2 linked regions of the Arabidopsis thaliana genome follow. The protein of the gene in region 1 interacts with the protein of each later gene in a pairwise test. Each region holds a gene or a part of one and is shown on either strand. Other genes may lie near its edges.

Region 1 (10,448 bases):
GCCATGCTTTGAGGAAAACAAGGTGTCATCTGGACCTGATCCAAAGTGGTCCAATGCTTTGCGGTTTTACTTTCAAGGAATTCTGGAATCGTTCTCTAATTTAAGAACTTCTATAAGGCTGTGCTTGGGCTCCTCTGTGGAAGACCTGAAAACAAAACTTGCAGTTGTTCTTGATTTAGTCGAATATTGTTTGAGACTCGCAATGGCTTGGGTTCTGGGAGACGTGCATTGTCTCTTTCGAATGGTTCAGCCCCTTGTGATATCATATTTTAATGGGCATATGCCTTATGAGGTTGACCTGGAAAGTGTGAAGAGAGTATACCACCAGGAAGCTTCTGTTAGTGTACCAGATGCATCAGATGTAGGAGTTAATTCTAAGTTCAGCAGTGTTGTTGAGAATCACGGAGTTGGCTATCCAGTATACTCAATTCCAGAAGATGAAAGATGTCTGGTAACACAAGCTTGTTTCTGGAAGCATGTTTCAGACTTTGTGAAACTTAAGCTGGTATCTATTTCGATCAATCTAGATGATGGTATTTCGAATAGTGGTTCCGCTGAAAATTTTGATGCCCAGACATCATTGGACTCCAGTGATGACATTGTATGCGTAACGGAGAAGATAATGTCTGTTCTGGGAAAAACACTGATTAGCACCCTAGCTCAACTCTCTTCGTACCATGTAAAACAACTAGTATTAGTCTTGAAACAGAAACTAGAGAAGAGACTTCAGGTTCCTACCTTGTTATGGCTGCTCGAATGTCAGGGATCTCAAGCAAATTTTCTTAATCGGGATATCCCAGATGCAGGTGTAGAGACGGAAAAAAACGGTGACCCTGTGGTTTCTGTGAGGTTCTGGAAGCTTTGTGTTGATCCTCATTTACTACACGAAGCTTTCTTGTTAGAAAATTTTGACATATTTGAATGGTCAAAATCTAAACCATTGGAAGATTGGAGCGATATGTACAGAGAAGTAATCAGGAAGAATGAGCTCTATGTGCCATGCAATCAAGATGGTCGAAGTAGTAATGAGGTGGCTTCACTTGCAAACCACGCTTCAAATTCTTCACCAAAAGCTGCGGTAACTGCCAATGAAAACTCTGCGTTCCAGAACCCCAAAGAAATCCATAAGAGGACCGGGGAGCTTATAGAGGTACCTATTTTTCTTACATTGACGAACAAGTCACTGATATTGTTGAAACTTTCTTATCTTTTGAGATCGAGTATTCTAATCTTTATAACAGGCCCTTTGTATCAACGCCATTAACCATCGGCAAGCTGCATTAGCTAGCAACCGCAAGGTCAGTATATCGTCGTAATTTGCCTTTACCACTTGTTCTATCTTTAATTTCCTGTGAAATTCATAAGTTTTTGTAACTTGCCATATGCTACGCACCAAAACTTTAGATATGCAAAGATGAGTCTGCATCCTGGAAAACATCCATTAACCTTTTATCTGTATCCTGCATTCTTGCATCAGTATCTCGAGATAAAATTTTCAGATGATATTGCATGTCCCATATGAAGACCAAGTTTATGTCAATCTGTTGTTATTTTGTTGTTGCAGTGTTTTATTATGCTTAGTGGTAATGTGGCAGGAGACATAGACACATCCCTAAATGTGCATTCGTGACATGCAGGGTATAATTTTCTTTAACCTAGAAGATGGTGATTCTTCCCAAAATCAGTCAGACTATATCTGGTCAGATGCTGACTGGCCACATAATGGTTGGGCTAACTCTGAGTCAACTCCCGTTCCAACATGTGTTTCACTCGGTGTTGGTCTTGGGGATAAGAAAGGAGCACACCTTGGGTTAGGTGGGGCCACTGTTGGAGTTGTTTCTCTTTCCAAGCCTGGGAAAGCTGACAGAGTTCCTGGCTACTCTGGGTTAGGAGCGATAGCGGATCCAGGATCATTTTTTACCCAGGTCACACATAGCTAAAAAAAAAAAATTGATAAGCCAAATGTATATTTTCTCATAACATTAAATAAAATTCACGTAGATCCGCCGGTGGTTAGGAGTCTCTGGTCTAGGTTGGGAAACTCAAGAAGAATTTGAAGAGTTTGTTGATCCTCCCCCAACAGTTGAAAGTGTTATTACGAGAGCATTCTCTAATCACCCGACAATGCCCCTCTTCTTGGTTGGCTCAAGCAACACTCACATATACTTGTGGGAGGTTTGTGCCTAAACACTTGCACCATCTGTTTTAGGAGTTCGGAGTAAATGATATGACATTTCTTATCTATCCTTGTGGATCTTATAATGCAAACCTTGCATGTTACAGTTTGGAAACGAAAGAGCTACTGCAACTTATGGTGTTCTTCCTGCTGCAAATGTTTCCCCTCCTTATGCTTTGGCGTCGATATCAGCAGTGCAATTCGGTCCATTCGGACACAGATTTGCTAGCGCTGCACTGGATGGAACTGTATGCACTTGGCAATCAGAAGTTGGAGGAAGGAGCAATATTCATCCTGTTGAATCATCTCTTTGCTTCAATGGCCATGCATCGTACGTTTCATGATCCTTGAGTCTATAAGTTCTTGTTCACTAATATGCTAAAAACACATAAGTTTTAAATTATTGCTGTCAGTCATGAAAATTACCATTATTTCTCTGTTTCTTGTTCTATTGGCTTCAGCTATTCTGTTTCTGTTATTTATGGTTGCAGAGATGTAGGATATATTAGTTCGAGTGGATCCATTGTTGCAGCTTCAGGATATAGCTCAAGTGGTGCAAATGTCGTTGTGTGGGATACTCTAGCTCCCCCTTCAACCTCCCAGGCATCTATCAATTGCCATGAAGGTCCTCCAATAATTTTTTTTGTAGAAGTGTTAGTATCATTTCCCATAATCACAACTCTTAACAAGTTTTTTTTTTGTTTTGTCCCTTTTCTTCTATGAAGGTGGTGCACGCTCTATCTCGGTATTTGATAATGACATTGGTAGTGGTTCAATTTCTCCTATGATTGTGACTGGTGGCAAAAATGGTGATGTCGGTTTGCACGATTTCCGGTTTATTGCAACCGGAAAGATGAAGAAGCAAAGGAACCCTGACGGTGGATCTTCGACTGATGGAGATCAAAACAAGAATGGGATGCTTTGGTATATACCAAAGGCTCACTTAGGTGCACACCCTAAAGCCTATTTTCACCTTCATATTCCAATTTTACCGGAAAAATATCCTGAAATTTGATTGACATTGATGCAAATTTCAGGGAGTGTGACAAAAATAGCGACAATCCCACGCACAAGTCTTTTCTTGACGGGAAGCAAAGACGGAGAAGTAAAACTTTGGGATGCGAAAGCTGCAAAGTTGATTCATCATTGGCCTAAACTACACGAAAGACACACTTTTCTGCAGCCAAACTCGAGAGGCTACGGTGGAATCATCCGGGTTAGTGAACCAAATCACCTAAAGCATAATCCTTTCATCGTATTTTCTCACAGTGGCTTTGGTTTCTTAGTAAACCAGAATCAAAGTAATGTCGGTGTATGTAATCGAATTTGGGTATGTGTTACGAATTTGGTGTAGGCTGGGGTGACTGACATACAAGTTTGTCCGAATGGATTTATAACGTGTGGTGGTGATGGCACGGTGAAGTTCGTCAGCCTCGTAGATTCTTCCTATGGCGATGCTAAATAAAAAGAAGATACATTTTCCGGGAAAGTTTTGCAGTCGAGAAAACGAGTTATTGCTACCTTGCGTGTGTTTATTGAATACGTGATTTTTTGTGATGTAGTTTTTTTCTCTATATGGTTTAATATTTGTGTATATACAAATATATTAAAGATTATGAAGCAGTAGAATCTTGAGTTGACCATAATCCAGATTTTAATTTATCTTTGACTTGACTTCAATCTATACTCGGAAATATCATCTATTTATCTTTGACATAGTTTTCGTTGACTTTGTTGCATCAGATTTAGACCAGATTAAATCGGACTGATTCCAATTAGATTGGTGTTAAGTGTAGTGCAATAGAACCGAAAATAAACATTATCAAGATTTAGTTCGTTATTGTAATTTTTTTTCTTTCTTTTTGGTGTTGGTTTGGTATTAGCTCGATATAGTTTAATAAGATTATGAAAAATTGACGGCTAGGAACCTGGCCACTATCGTATTACGTAGTGGAATATTATCTTATGGTTGATTATTAAACTGCTCCATAATTTGTGTTGTAGTCTTGTAGACGAAATGATATGAATCATCAAAATGTTTGATTAAAACCCCATTTGCCAAGAATTATTCCTAAAACTATTAAGTTAAGGCAAAGGTCCATTTCATTAATAATTATTCTAAAGAAGTTAGTTGTATATATAGTATATATATAGACTATGGTGTTAATTATGACTGAATATATTAGTGCTCACATAAAGCATCTTATTAGAATATCTTAGATTGCTTAAATAATTATTAACCACGTAATAAATAAATCTCATGTAACACTATCAATTGGAGAATAATGGAGAGAGACAATTAACCATAATGACTTGAAGACACTTGGCTTCACCTAACATTCAATTTCCTAGACGAGGCCACTATTTACATTCTCTTTACCTAACTTTCAGAACTACATTAAACCAAATTGACATGTAAAAAACCTAATTTTATATTTTCAACATGTCTATTTACCATTGGCCACTTTATTACTTAAATGAAAACGATGTCATAAAAAATATTAGTAGACCCTAACTTGAAATTTAAAATTTAATCGATCATTTAAAAATCAAAATCATTCGACGCAATTACTACAAGATTTTTATGTTTTAACCAAACATTTATGACGTAATCTACCATCGCGCGTAATCGTATAGTGATAACTGATAAGATAAAAGGTCTTATCCGTTAAAAAAGGAAAGGGAAGCCTTTTTTAGATCTTCTTTTTTGTCGCCACGTGTAATTAATATCTAATCGAACGGCTGTCAGGTGAAATCTATGGGCAAATCTGTGGACTCAAATACTCATTAACATAACTATGGGTCCTCTCAGAAAACGGTGCCGTTTTGCGGAAGCTTGCGTGCTGAATGACACAGAGACTAAGAAAACGATAATAAACTGCAAAATGATTCAAAAGATTTTAATCGAAAGCAAACAAAAATTCTCTGACAATCAGAAAACAAAAAAAAATCAGAACAACTCTTATCTTCTTCACGAGACTGACTAAACAATCATAGATTTTTCCGTTTTTTGGGTTTCGTCTGGTGTTACTCTCTCCTTCTGGTTAGTTCTTTTTTTCCGAATTCTTACAAATTATTGCGGTTTCATTAAGATGAATTATGATTTGGATCACCATCCGTTGTTTTTGTGTCCGGTTTTGATTCTTAGGTCTAATCGCGTTTCATGTTTTTTTTTTGTGTTCTTCTGGGTTTGATAATTTTATAGTTGAAGTTTTATGAAATTTGATTTCAATTGCAAATAATGATGATTTGTTTAGTAAGTTGATAAATTGACAAAGAATCTGGCTTTGGTTTTTGTTTGCTTCTAAGAAAATTAGGAACTAATTCTTCAATTTACCTGGAAAGCAAAACATATCAGATTCTCTAAAAAGTAGTTTTGTAATAAGCTTTTTTGGTGATGGATCTGTCGGCAATCAGAAAGATTCTTCCTTTGAAATAAATGATTCATATTATTTTTCCTATAAATAGATTCAAAACGGTTAATAAGATTTTGCTAAATCTACCTAATTTCTAAATCACATTGATCTTGAATTGAATTCTCAGTCTCTTGTCTTATCTTTAGAGTTATGGTGAAATAATGGCAGCAGCTGAAGCAAGAGCAGTGTGGCAAAGAACAGTTAATCGTTGCTTTGTCCAAGAAGACGCTAAAAGAGCTCCCAAGTTAACTTATTGCCAATCATCTTCATCCTCAACTGCTTCTTCAACTAAGCAAGTGGAAGTTTCTGGTTCTTCTCCTCGAGTTTCTGTTGAACCACGGACTCAATCATCTTGTGCAGGTTTCATGCCTCTTCCTCGAAACCCGAATTTCCCTGATCTGTTACCCCACAACACCAGACTGTGGAGTCATCCTCATCATCAGTTTCAGGTGAATAAGAAGCAGCCATTGGAGGATGAGGTTAACAATCAAGGTGTATCTGAGAAGAAGTCTGAATTGGGAGCTGGAGAGAAACAAGGAAAGTCTTTTAATTCCGAAAGCTTTCAAGAGTTTATAGAGTTGATGGAGACAAGGGAGAGTTATGGTTCAACTGGGTATGATGAGTCCTCTGAGAAAAAGTTAAGTGAGCTCTCTTTTGATCCTAGCTCGCCGTGGAATCTTCTCTCGAGTGAGAAAGCTGCACCGTGGTGGCGAACTACGGATAAAGACGAGTTAGCTTCCTTGGTTGCACAAAGATCTCTAGACTATGTTGAGAATTGTGATTTACCAACACCGCAGAAGATGAAACGATCTTATTATGGTAGTCCACGTGGTTTTGATTCTGATGGATTGAGAGACTACTCTGTCTCTGGCCAAACCATCAAGGGTACAAGCAAAGGAAGCAGCTGCAAGAACAGACCCGAGGCTTCATCTGAGTCTGATTTAAGCAAATCCGAGCTTCTAGAAGCACTGAGGCGTTCGCAAACGCGGGCTAGGGAAGCGGAGAATATGGCTAAAGAAGCTTATGCAGAGAAAGAGCACTTGGTGAAGATATTGTTGAAGCAAGCCGCAGAGCTTTTTGGGTATAAGCAATGGTTACAACTGCTTCAGCTAGAAGCACTTTACCTCCAAATCAAGAACAAGGAGATTGACAATAAGAACAACGACGATCCAGGGGTTTCCATCCCTTGTTGGAGCAATGGCAAAGCAAGAAAAGAGGGGAGAAAGAGAAGAAGCAAAAGGGGTAAACCGAATGGAGCAAAGTACGCGGTTGGTTTAGCATTGGGGATGAGTCTTGTTGGTGCTGGTTTGCTTCTTGGATGGACTGTTGGATGGATGCAGATGCTATCGTTCTAGTTTAAAGAGAAGAAAAGAGACAAAACTTCATCTTTTTTCTCATTGAACAGCTTGATGATGTTGAAATGAGTTAAAAGATTGGCTTCGAATCAGCTTTTGGATTTCGTTAAGGAGAGAATGTAAATTGTTGTAAGAATTTTGTTAATATTGTGTTTACTAGTTTGATCTTTTCCTTCAAAAATCATATGAAATTATCTTCTTTAATGTGTAAGTAAGTATCTTTCATGTTCATGTAATATCTGCATATATTAACTACTGTACAGTGTATATGATCTTTCTTTCATGTTCCTAGAGCTTCGATTTCTTGAAAATTTAAAATACTTAGTAATTTTTTACTGCTGGAAGCAGAATGAGAAAGAGAAAGATATACAGTATATATATTTTTTAATTACGGCAAAGGTGATTATAATGGGCCGAATTGCGAACATTTGGGCCCAGTAACCCGACCCGACCGGAGATGATCTTTAATTTCGTTTCAGGTGAGAAAATGGTTTACTCAGGAGCAACTATCAATCGAATCAGACATTGACGAGGAGCTTTGGTCGTAATCCGAGGAAGAGATTAAAATCGGAAAGTGCGAAAATGCCGGTCATGGAGAAATTGAGGATGTTCGTGGCGCAGGAACCAGTTGTGGCTGCTTCTTGCTTAATCGGCGGTGTTGGTATGAACCCTAATCTCAATCTTAATTCCTCACCGATCGATCGCATTCTCTTTCTTAGAAAAGGATTTGCTTTGGGATTTATCTAGTTTCTGGAATTCCTCTTTGAATCTATAGAGCTAGTTTGCTCGATTGTAATTTGAGAATATAGAGAAATGCCTGATCCAAATCTCTCTATTCGGAATCGTCATTTCTTTGGGTTGTCAAAGAGAGTGTATTTTAAGGAGTTGAAATTAAGCTTAATTTGGAACCATGTCTTCCATTATCTCCATGTATAAGTAGCAAAAGATTATGTCTTTCTTGAACATTAGCAAAAGGCAATTGTGTTAATATACATTTGCTGATGGATTCTCTTCATCTTGTAGGACTATTTTTGCCTGCGGTTGTGAGGCCTATTCTAGACTCTCTCGAGGCTTCCAAACAAGTTAAAGCTCCTCCACTTACCGATGTATGTATTAGAATATATTTATCTCTGTGGAAATTCCTTTTGCTGCTAAAATCGTCATCTATTTCCTATCTAATGAAATGTCTCTGATGTGGGAACTCTGCATGATAGTTGTTCTTAGTATCCGTGTAGGCGAATGTTTGGACGTTTCTTTTTTTTGCTATGTGATGTAGCCTATACATCATCTCGATGTTTTGTTCCTCCTGCGTCTTCTTGTGATTTGAGAGTTCCATCTTTGGTTCATCCATGCCTTAAAAATCTATGCTTTTCATCATTGGACGAGTGTCATGATCACATTTTGTTACTGCCAAAAATGGATTGGGCATAAAAGAGACTAGTTAGTTATCACATTGCTTAGTTATCCAACGCTTTCCTATATACTCTTTACAGGCAAACAAAGGCGTCAAGTATTAACTCAGATCCAATTTGCTTTTGCAGGTGATTGCTGGTGTCACAGGGAAGAAACAGAGTTAAAACAAGCAATGACTTCCCCTGTTTTCTTACATTCAGATGATCCCTATTCCTTTTTTGTCTTTTACTCTCTCTATTCACAATGAATAAGCCAGACTCATTTGTTTGTTATGAAACTTAATATAAAGGCATGTGTGTACACTCACTTTTGTTCATCACTTGATCAGATGTATTCATTTCTTAACAACAAATGAAAAAAGCTTGAAACTTTTCTTGCCATGGCTCATGAGTCTTAACAACATTATATATGCATATCACACAGATATTAAATTACAGTAAAATTGCTAATCTTACATACACTCTTAATAGCTCTTTTTCATCATCTTGATCCCTCAATAGATAGATAGATAATGCATATTGAAAACAGGCTTAAACACTTCCACTTCTCATCTTCTTGTTCTTCCATGGCATTGCTAGCTTCAATCCCTTGCATAAACTTCCCTGCATTTCCCCAACCAAACCCGTTTCAGCGAAAGACAAGACTTGGGAAGATGAAGAAGTTATGAAGAAGGAGCGGAGAAACACAAATACTTTACCCAAAAGTGAGATCCTTTAACAGAACCACCACCATGGTAACTCCCTGATCTGTTAAACTTCATGATCTTCATGTTGTTCTCGTTGATATTATCTCCTGCTCTCTGATTCTCCGACAGAAAGACATAATTACCCCTCACAACAACATCCCCTCTCCCTTTCCTCCTCAAGAACCTCAAGAGCCCATGTTTCCTCTCGGGCAAGGGCATTTGCGTGAACTCACCAGGAAGGAGCAAACGAGGTGGCAAATCAAGACACTTGGGGTAAGAAAGAGGACGAAGAGGGTGCTTGGGCTTGCCTGGTTGGTCTTCCCAACAAAACGGAACAGAGGCAAGAGTGTGAATCGGAGAAGCAAACACACGTGGACTCGCAGGCGATGAAGTGTACAACAACGATCTTGACTTTGCAGCTAACACAAGTGCAAGCTTCGCCTTCTCTTCTTCCTTGTCTCCTCTCATTTTTATGTCTTCTCTGTTTCTTTCTTTCTTCTTCTTCAGCTTAGTCTTAGGCAGTTTCTTTTTAGGTAGTGGGAGAGTGAAGAAAAAAAAGACAATGCATTAAATATATCTCAAATCATTTGTGATTATTAATGATCCAACGGTGGTTTTTTACTGTTGACTAGATAGACAACCATTCATAAAAGTCAATACTCTTTTGTTATTAGAGGAAATTTGACTGACCACGTCACCAAATAATAGAATCATTCACCAACTAAACTGTTATTATTTGTTCTTACTATTCAAAGAATACATTGTCACTAAAGTTCAAACAGTGTTATTCTATAAGGGATGGTATTTTTACATTTTAAAGCTTCACTATTTACTATAGAGGTGAAAATAAATAAATATCACCCAACTGCTCAAGAGGTAATGTAATAGTAGTACAAGCAGAAGCAACACGTGACATAGCCACGCGCACCTAAACCACGTGAGGCACGTGAACTTAAAATGGCTGAAGGATTTTGCGCTTTGTAAACTTGAGAAAAGAGGCGCGTGAGAGACTGTTATTTGAACCATCTCTTTTTCTATTTGGTCTTCTTAACCATTTTTTTTTCTAATCAATGGTATGTATGTGATTAACATTAAATCATTTTGTATTCATGCAACTGATATACTCTACTACATTGAAGAAATTCTTGTGATCTCATCAAATTATACGAATTAAAATTAAGGAATTATGAAGCTGACGTGAAAATTATCTGCCGACAAATGACTTTATTATGATTAACGATTTTAAAGAAAGCTCAAAGTGGACCCAAAACCAAAATGTAGTTTGATCAGTAAAACATTCCCACCGACACCGAGCTTATGATTTCTTCTCAAGCTTAGTGTGTTCTCGCAAGTCTTAAGATTATAATGATGATTAATTTAGTTTAGGAAAAATTATTAAAATA
Region 2 (10,448 bases), about 17 Mb from region 1:
TTCCTAATCAATCTCTACCTTGATGGACGGATGAGATCTAATCTTAAGGAAACCCTAATGAGGAATAGGTCCTCTCTCCACCTATAAATATATAGCTTTAGACCATCATAAAGATATCATAAAACGCAACACGTTAAAGCTAAGTTTATAGGCAAGGTGAGAGAAACTTAATCCTAAACTAAAGATCAAGACTTCAGGAAACCTATTCATGAAGACATCTCCACGACAATAAAGAGAGGTAATCCGATAAACCTCCTAATGATTCTATTATGTGATTAACCTAGATGTTTAAAGATCTTAGGGTTCATATAAAATTAACTTACACTAAAGGCTTATGTTGTGGTCGTGATTGGTTGGTCTTAATTTTTTTATTTTTTTTAATACCATGGTTGGTCTTAATTTGCAATGCACCATTAACTTCACCTAACGCTCTTTATTCTTAAGAAATATTAATTTTATTTTTTATATTAACAATTAATTTGTTCACTCTTTTTTACTTAAATATGTAAAAATGTTTCCAAAACTTTAATGATTGAACTAATATAATATCCAATTATCGAACCTCCAACATGAAAATTTCTAATCAATATTTAAATACATATTGTTTTTGTTTAATTTAAATATTGTGTTTAAATCTCTTCAAACAATTAGATATTATAATTTAATTTCTCTAAGAAACAAAAAAAATCGAAAACCCATGTATATATTTCATACTGTTTTTTAGCCTACCTCTTGAATGATTATATTCTTCAAATTTAGTGAGAAAAATATTTCGATGTATCCCAACTAAAATTCTATTTTTCTTGCTTCAATTTATGGTTTGTTTTTCTCTTTTCATAAATAACTGATAAAAAAATAAATAGAATCAAGTCAAACCAAATTAAATCGAATCAAGCCAAACCACTTTTATAAAGTATATATTCCCCATTGTGTCACTCTCATAAAATAATATTGCCACCGTTGCATTATATATGATGATAAATTTTCTAGAACTCATATTTTTTTTTAAAATGTGTGTTTTAAACTAATACATCTAAATGAAAGAAGTGTTTCTTTTGCGGACAAGTTTTCCTGGCTTTTGCTATCCCAATTGAATTGGTTTTTTTTTGTCCAGTATCTCCGCCTTCTACAGTTGTGATGCGGGCCCTCTTTCTGGCATCACCGCCTCCTATAGGCGGCGTTGGCTAGCTTTGCTTTTTTAACTCGCCGTCCAGTGTATCAGGTAGTTCCAGTTTTGTTTATGCGTTTGTTTAATTGTCTCGATTATGAAGAGTTCCAATATGTGAGATTGTTAGATCAGGAGAGTTTTCTCAGATCTACTTCTACTGACTTGTTCTGTTTTACCGTCGGGATTTCTTGTTTTCGGCCCCTATGGTTTTTTGGCAAGGTTGTTTGTTGATTGCATTGTTGTATCTACCAGTTTTCTTCGTTTTAATTTTCAAGACAGTTATGCGCCTAAGTTGTTGCTGAAAGCTCCATCGGTTTAATCTCCACGCGGATTTCCTTAGAGTTCGGGAGGAAATTACTTTGAGAAGTTCTTTTCTTTGCAGATTTGATAATGAAGATTGGTGAGATTCTCTAATTAAAAACCGTTAAGACTTCTTTGCTTGAAGATCTGGCGATTTCTGATGATTTTGGAGTTTCCTAAGGATTCTTACCAAATCGACAATGACCAACAACGATATATGCTTCACATGTCCATGCGTCTTAACCTTGCTTCATAGTCTCACATGTGGCTTTGCGTTGGAATCTTTAAATCTTACTTCTACAAAGGGTTTAGTTTCCTAGATTGGACTTTCTTTAAGTTGGGCTTCTTCTTATAAGTTAAACTTGTTGGTTCTTTGGTTATGCAACATGGATGCTTGTTTAGATAATCTAATATTGTAAAATTTGATGTGTTTGTCGAGTCATGTAAGTGAAAGATTCCACTTTTGCAACAAAAGTTTTAAATAAAGTGCAACATTTATGAGAAAGAAAAAAAAAAGGTTTTATGCAAAAGGACTCTCCAAATGATTTTTTTTGCTAGACAAACATCCATCTCAAAAAAATACAGGTCAATATCACAGTCTCAAAAGTCACCTACAATATAGTCCTTCCGTATATCGATGACGTAACAGTCGATAACTCCGTTGGAAGACATAAGAGTTTTGTTAAACAAACCCTCCATATATTTTTTTATTTTTGCAAGACAAACCTCAATGTCAAATAAATACAATATTACAATCTCAAAGTCACCCGCGATATAGTCATTTTGTATAGCGATGACATGACAATCGATAATTCCGTTAAAAGCATAATGGATATCAAAATAGACCTTTGTTTTGCTTTTGTTGAAAACCACATGATTGTGTGAGTTTCGTTATTAGAAATAGAATTGAGGGAAATAATTAGAGTTCTTTCATATTATATCTTCTTCTTTATTCATATGAAGTTTGGAGATTCATTTTTCTTTTCCATTTCGATCTTCATCCATTTCGATGTATGTGTTTGTTGAATTGTGTTCCACATGATCAAAAATCTTGGTTTGATTTTAAGTGATTCATTTACAGTTTTGAAGATCCCAATGAAAAATAAATATGAATCTCCAAATTTTCAGATAAATAAAAATTCAATAATTTTGGTGTATATTGTTTTATGGGTAATATTAGTAGATAACCAAATAAAACATACAAATTAAGAAACTAGCAGAGAGAAAGTTTTTTGTTACAAAATAACCATGGATCCCACGTTGTCGGAAGAAAGGAAATAACAAATCTACCCTTCATTTGTTGTAAGATGAACAGTAAACGAAATACATCCGTGTAATTTTTCAAAATAGCATGTAACATTAAAATTTCACATGTTATATTTAGTTTAAAAACATGCTATTTCAAAAAACGTTATGAATTTTTAAGAAAAAATATTCTTATGAAATTCTTTTACGTGAACAGAATCTTAAAAAAAAAAAATTATATGTGATTTTAATAAAAACCATGTATTACTAAAAAATAGGAATATATTTTTAAAGAAATCACGTGTGATCTTAATAAAAAACGTGTATTACTACAAAATATCATGATAAAAAGAGATATTAAACTGAATAGAATGTTTTTTCCAAAAAATACCAGGTGCTTTTTAATAAATACTATGTAATAAGAGAAAATAACAAGATAAAAAGAGGATATTATGTTATCGCATGTATTTCGGAAAAATAACATGTTACAAAGGACATTTACGTAATTACACGTGTTTTCCAACATGTTTCCGACAAGATACTGTGATTCAAGGTTAGTTTGTACATTCTTTTCAAATCTATAGTCATTTATTATAAATACTCTTGTTTTATTGTATGTTTTCTAATGTAGTTATTGGTTGTCATGTCATCACTACACAAAAAGATAATATTATGAGTGATTTTTAAGATTGTAGTGTTGACATTCATTTATTTGATATGAAGATTTTTTTTTACAAAAAAAGTTTACATAGAAATTTTTTACACTAAATCTTTATGTTTTTAATAGAGTTATCGTCTATATCAAACCTACATTTATTTGACATAATAGTTTATCTTATAAAAAATGACTTCATCTGTTCTTTTTTATTTGATTGGTTAGGAAAAACACACATATTAAGTTAAACATATTAAAATTGTTAAATGTATTATTTTTTGTATTTTACAATTTTTTATAACTTTAAATCAATAATATTCAATTATTTTTATCAAAGTTTATAATTAATTAATAATAACTAATAAATATTTCATAAAAAATCTAAAAATTAATCTTTTAAAAACTTATTTTTTTCAAAAAACAGAGAGTGTTAAATAGATAGATTTTTTTACACAAAACCCAAAAAAAAAAACTAAGACCTTGAATGTTTTTTAGATTTTGTAAGAGTTTTTGATTTTTGTTTTTTAAAAACTTATTTTAATACCAATCAAGATTTTAAAATTTTGGTTTCCCTACAATTTAGTAAAACTATTTTATTGTAGTTTTCCATTCATATTTAAGTTTTTTAGTTTTTCTAAAGTTTAGAAAATCTAGTTTTTACTCAATCAACGTTATTTTTTCAAAAACCAAAAACCAATTTTTTAGGGGTTTTTAAAACAAAAATATAATAACAAAAATCTAAAATCTATAGACTAAAATCTAAACTCAAAAACTGAATCGAAAATATCCATTCAGGCCTAATACATCCAATATTTCAATACTTCTTAACTCTTAACTCTTAAGTTTTAAGTAATTAAATATATAAAGATCTGTTGCCAAGCGTACCCTTTTTATAAACATTCCAAATAACTATCTCCATTCTTTGGAGTTACCCAATTTCGACGTTGAACACAAACCCTTGCTTCTCTCTTCTCTGTTTCTCTCTCGCAGCGAAAAATCATGGCGATTAGCTCCTTCAAGCATGAACATCCTCTTGGTTCGTTTTCGATTTAAACCTAATCGATCAATCTTGTTGATCTTTGTGTATCTCTCTCTCATCGTAGGGATTTTTTTAGCGACTAGGTTTAAAAATTCTCAAAATCTGGTTACGTCTATTTCAATTGCTTCTGAGTTTGCATGAATTGATCCTTGATTCTGATTTCCAACGATTTCAATTTTGATTGCGTTAACAGTTATAAGAATCCGCAAAATTATATGTTGAATGATTTTATCGCCGATTCTGTATTGTTTCGTGAAGTAGTATGCATAATCTTTGATTGAAACAAGTTTTGTGTTTATTGATGCAAATACATTATGATCTTTATTCAAGTGGAGATGAATATTGATGTTGAAGTTACTAAGTTTCACTTGTCTCTCTTGTGTTCCGTGGTCGAGTCTCTGTTGTTCACGGGGCGTAGAATCGCTATTTCAGTCCCTGTACATAATCTTTGATTGAAACATGTTCTGATTTGGTGCTGCTTTTGCTGAGGAAGCAAAATACATTATAGTCTCTGTTCAAGTGGAATCCTAAGATATTATCACTGAGTATGTGTTGTTCACGAGGCTTAGAATCACTATTTTAGTCCCTGGAGCCTGGAGTAGTAGTGTACATAATCTTTGATTGAAACATGTTTTGATTTTGTTCTACTTTTGCTGAGGAAGCAAAGTACATTATAGTCTCTGTTCAAGTGGAATCCTAAGATATTATCGCTGAGTCTGTGTTGTTTTACGTGGGTTAGAGGATGTTGATGTGTTGAAAATTGATGGATCTGTGTTTTTTTTGCTCTTGAATGTTACAGAAAAGAGACAAGCTGAAGCAGCACGTATCAGGGAGAAGTATCCAGACAGAATACCAGTATGAATTTTGGCTATTTTCATTTAAGAAAATTGCATAGCTTTTGCCTTATTCTCTCTGAAATTGTTGCAGGTCATTGTCGAAAGAGCCGAGAAGAGTGATGTCCCGGATATTGATAGGAAAAAGTAAGTCCTTACTTCTCTTGAGGAGTTGGATATAATCTCTTTCTTCTCACTGAAAGTGGCTTCAAGCCCTTTTCTGAGAACCCTACACTCCCTCACATTTAGTAATGAATTGGTTAATTGGATAGAAATAATTTTTTTTTATTGAAAGATCTGGAGGAATTTCTGGTTTTCATGGTTTGTTGCTTAGGGATAATGAATTGGCTGACTTACTATTCAAAACTTTAGGTACTTGGTCCCAGCTGATTTGACTGTTGGCCAGTTTGTTTATGTTGTACGGAAGCGGATCAAGCTCAGTCCCGAGAAAGCCATCTTCATTTTTGTCAAGAACATTCTACCACCAACTGGTTAGTTTCAAACACGTTCCTTAATCATATACTTTTCCAGTTCAAGGAATCATATCTTTTTCTCAGTTGAGCTAATAGTAGTAGTGTTATCCTTTTATTGCAGCGGCAATAATGTCTGCAATTTATGAAGAGCACAAAGACGAAGACGGGTTTCTATACATGAGTTACAGTGGTGAGAACACGTTCGGGATCTTCTTCTAATGCGCTTGGAATATGTGGATGCATCAGATTATCAATGTACAGTCTGTCTATTTCTCTGCTTGTCTCTAGTTTTCATGACATTGGACGAAGCTTTTGAAACTTGCATGCTATGTTATTAACATGATAAGGTCTTCCGTTCATGGTGTTAATTTGGCTTTATGCTACACTTAATTTCAAACTTAGTCGCTATATATAGTTGAGGTCACTTGGTGTCCTCCTTGAATATTGGCCCGGCCTATTTCACTAGTCGTTGAACCGTTACGATTTCTATCTTCTCAAAGTTAGCTCGACCGTCAAATCTCTAAGCTCTTGCAATCTCTGCTTCTAAGGAACACAAAACAGAGATAACTTTAGCTATAAATATTTAGATTTCAAAAGCAACTTGATTTAGGTAAATTTGTGCACACTCTAGAATAGATTATCATCTGTTACAGATTATTACTGTACAATCCAGCAAAAACTAGGCCTGGGATTTCGGATTAACCCAATGACCGAACTGAACAAACCGTTTTTTTGGTTCTGATAACCGACTATGAAGGGAAGGCTAAACCGATCGGCGAAATTATAATTGAAGTTCGGTTCTCGGTTCGGCAGACATAACCGATCAGTTTTCTCGGTTAATAGATACTATAAATATAAAGATAAAAACATTAGATCTAATCTTTTTAGCTTCTTCTCCGTTTCCTTTTGATCCTCATCCATGGCTATTTAGTCAATTCTCTCTATCTGCATGTGGTTTTCACTATGGTAGCACGTCGGGGCATATTTCGTTACGGAGATATCGTCATCCCTCGCTATCACCGTCACCGTCACAGACGTAGATCTGCTGATTATGAAGAGGGTAGCGGCACCAAGATACCATCAACCCTAATTTTTAATAGGTTTGGATTTTTAGTTATTTTGGGTTTAAGTTTGTTTTTCGTTTTGGCCCAATTATTGGTTTGTAATTATAAAATTTTGTTTATCTTCGCCCATTCTATAATTTTTGTTTTGACCCATTATCTTGATTTTGGACTTATTCGGTATAAACTAACCGAACTAAAAAAAAAATCGGTTTAGTTCAGAGTTGATTTTGAATCCTATAACCAAACCGACCCGAACCAAATCTTTATTCGGTTTAATTTGACAAAATTTTAAAGAACCGAAAAAACCGATTAAACCAAACCGAACCGATTACCCGAATAAACCGAATGCCCAGGCCAAAAACAACTGAAAATAAAAAATAAAAAATGAGATAGGAGAATATTTAATCCGACGGTGGAGAAATGTTGATATAATAAAACGTGATACAGAGGATCATAAACCCGCAACATGAGAAACGTAATAAGTTAAGTCAAAAAAACGAAAAAGCCAGAATCATATTTGTGGCTCTGGTTTCTCCATCCAAACAAAAACAACACCCAAACCTTGTCCACACCAAAATGTTAAACTCAAAATCCAACCACACACACACAATTTCTCTTCCTCTCTACCATTAACATCGATCAGAAAGACCGAGAGAGAGAGGGAGAAGCTGATTGATTATGGCTGCTGCTTCGATTTCTGCAATAGGATGTAATCAAACTTTGATAGGAACTTCCTTCTATGGAGGATGGGGAAGTTCCATCTCCGGAGAAGATTACCAAACCATGCTCTCCAAGACAGTTGCGCCACCGCAACAAGCCAGAGTCTCAAGGAAAGCAATCAGAGCAGTTCCAATGATGAAGAATGTCAATGAAGGCAAAGGCTTATTTGCACCTCTAGTTGTTGTCACACGCAACCTAGTAGGCAAGAAGAGGTTTAATCAGCTCAGAGGAAAAGCCATTGCCTTACACTCTCAGGTTTGCTTGTCTTATAATCATTCTCTTAAGAACTAGTCAAAGAAGCAAAGTTTTGTGGAACTGGGTTCTTTTGTTCTTTCAGGTGATCACTGAGTTTTGCAAATCGATTGGAGCAGATGCAAAACAGAGACAAGGGCTTATCAGGCTTGCTAAGAAGAATGGAGAGAGGCTTGGTTTCCTTGCTTAGGTCTTAAAAAGAACAAATCTTTCTCTCTGCTTGTGTCTGATATATACACTCACAACTCCTCTTGTTGTTCTTGTCTAGATGTATTTTGTCCAAACCTATAATCTTGATTTTTGTTACATTGCCTTTGAGGGTTACTCAAACACACATAACTGCTGCCATTCTCATCTGAAAAGTTGTTCAATAAGGTCTTAGCTGAACTAGTTTTCTCAGTCACATAGAGATACAAAATATGTAATATTGCCACTCTTTCAACAGATTAAAAAGCCTAATCATAACTCTCAAACAATTAAGGGATTGAAAAAGACTGTAAGTTTTGCTTTCTATTGAAGCATCCCTAAGATCGGAGAGGTATTGAGAGCTGCAGTTTTTTAACACCGTGAGCTTACACTGATTACTTCAAGACCCAAGTAAGATTGCATAATATGTCAATAAAGTTGTCATCGTGGAAACTTGATATATATGGAACTTTACCTAGACATTCTTTAACACAAACTCTGTTTCTGCTAGCTAAGCATTCGTTCCCAAAGGTTTCCAGGAGGTTGACTTGTTGCCAGTTGCCTTAACCTTGATTAGGTTGAAAATTTGGGTACGAGTAATGTTACAGAACCACACGTGGGAGGTCACACGTGCGAAATCAAATGGAAGAAGGAATTAATAAGAGGCTGACGCGTGTCGACTGAGGAGTGGCAGACTCAAACATGCCGTTAGGCCCTTCTATATGAGCAATATTCAGCTCATCTTTCTCTTTTATCAATTAATCTGTAAAATCTAGAATCTCTGAGAACTTTTCTAAGCTAGATATCTCACATCGAGACTAGCAGATCCTTGGGTGTTTTATGAACATCGATTGCTCATTGTAATCAGGGATTTATTCTTAATCGGAATTGATTTTACAGTGAACCGGAAAGTTATTTGTATCAAAGGTATCAAAGCTCTGTCTTTCCTTGGAGTCATGGTTCATACACGTTTTCATGATGAGTCGAAGGAGAAGGGAAAAGAGGTGGAAGGTTTGGATCCGATGGAGGAGAGGATGGCGAGGCTGGAGGCGATGATGGAAGCTCATAGCAAAGCGACGATGAAGAATCTGGCTGATATGATGACTGCGATGAGCAGATCTACAGCTCAGAAACAGCCGGATGAGCAGTCCAGTGGTGAGCGGAGTCTACCTCGATCATCAACTTCAACGGATGATAGAGTGGTTTTTCAGGATGTCCGATGAGAAAATCGACCAGAGCAGGATCAACGACGAGACAATCGTCACGAACAGGATCAGCGAAGGGAAAATCGTCATGATCAGGTTCGATTTGAAAACCCAAACAATTATGGTAACTTGACGCGTTTGGGTAAGATTGATTTGCCTCGTTTTGATGGATCTGGAATCAAAGAATGGTTGTTCAAGGTAGAGGAGTTCTTTGGTATTGATTATACCCATGCAGATCTGAAGGTGAAGATGGCTGCTATCCATTTCGATGGTCATGCTGCAACATGGCATCACTCTTTTATGCAGTCGGGTGTAGGTTTGGAGGTGTTGTATGATTGGCCTGGTTATGTTCAGTAGTTGAGAGAGCGGTTTGATGATGACTGTGATGATCCCATGGCTGAGTTGAAGAAGCTAAAGGAAACAGATGGCATTGTTGATTATCATAAGAAGTTTGAGTTGATTAAGATTCGGGTTAACCTTTCTGAAGAATATTTGGTGAGTGTTTATTTGGCAGGTTTGCGAATGGACACTCAGATGCATGTCAGGATGTTTCAACCACAAACGGTGCGTCACTGTTTTCGTTTGGGAAGGCTGTATGAGAAGGCACATCCTAAGCGTCTTTCTTCAACACCTTGGCAACCTAAGACAAGTGGAGCAGCTGGTACTTTGAAGTCACCTAGAGAGGCTTCTAATACACCTGACAAATATTACAACAAGGAGAATCAATACACTAAACCTGAGTTTAAACCAAATAATGCTAGGAAGCTGTCTCAACAGGAAATGAGTGAGAGGAGAACGAAGGGCTTATGTTATTTCTGTGATGAGAAGTTCAGTCCTGAACATTATTTGGTGCACAAAAAGCAACAACTCTTTTGTATGGAAGTGGATGAAGAGTTTGAAGATGCGTTAGAGGAATTGACTGGTGAAGAAGAGAAGAATATGCCTCAGATTTCAGTGAATGCGGTTTCAGGTATCTCAGGATACAAGACTATGCGGGTAAAAGGAGCTTATGGGAAAAAGACCTTGTTTATATTGGTTGATTCAGGTTCTACTCATAACTTCATTGATTCGAAGGTGGCGGCTAAGTTGGGTTGTCAGATTCAGGATGCAGGGTTGGCTCGGGTCTCAGTGGCTGATGGTAGGAAGTTGAAAGTGGATGGGAAGATAGTGGATTTCTCTTGGAAGTTACAGACTACACAGTTTCACTCAGATATTTTGCTGATTCCATTACAAGGAGTGGATATGGTTTTGGGAGTTCAGTGGTTGGAAACTTTGGGAAGAATTTCTTGGGACTTTAAGCAGTTGGAT

The links. The genes of interacting proteins can lie anywhere in the genome.
Region 2: the proteins of AT2G46550 (region 1) and ATG8D interact in a two-hybrid assay, tested with the Arabidopsis thaliana proteins (one large-scale study listed by BioGRID).

The regions. Positions count from the first base shown.
Region 1 is NC_003071.7:19,108,763-19,119,210, reverse strand, and holds AT2G46550 (uncharacterized protein), read left to right. Parts: upstream 1-5,004; 5' UTR 5,005-5,219; intron 5,220-5,738; 5' UTR 5,739-5,753; coding exon 5,754-6,947; 3' UTR 6,948-7,250; downstream 7,251-10,448. Other genes in the region: AT2G46560 (transducin family protein / WD-40 repeat family protein), read left to right, coding at 1-1,150, 1,242-1,298, 1,638-1,925, 2,002-2,175, 2,284-2,507, 2,668-2,801, 2,902-3,123, 3,214-3,392 and 1 more; AT2G46540 (fiber), read left to right, coding at 7,530-7,608, 7,971-8,053, 8,489-8,524; AT2G46535 (uncharacterized protein), read right to left, coding at 8,891-8,962, 9,058-9,513.
Region 2 is NC_003071.7:2,078,695-2,089,142, reverse strand, and holds ATG8D (Ubiquitin-like superfamily protein), read left to right. Parts: upstream 1-4,260; 5' UTR 4,261-4,367; coding exon 4,368-4,404; intron 4,405-4,737; coding exon 4,738-4,844; intron 4,845-4,927; coding exon 4,928-4,952; intron 4,953-5,206; coding exon 5,207-5,262; intron 5,263-5,334; coding exon 5,335-5,387; intron 5,388-5,612; coding exon 5,613-5,731; intron 5,732-5,834; coding exon 5,835-5,932; 3' UTR 5,933-6,157; downstream 6,158-10,448. Other genes in the region: AT2G05632 (uncharacterized protein), read left to right, coding at 1,241-1,399; PGR5 (proton gradient regulation 5), read left to right, coding at 7,456-7,752, 7,835-7,939. UniProt on the Arabidopsis thaliana protein: Ubiquitin-like modifier involved in autophagosomes formation. May mediate the delivery of the autophagosomes to the vacuole via the microtubule cytoskeleton.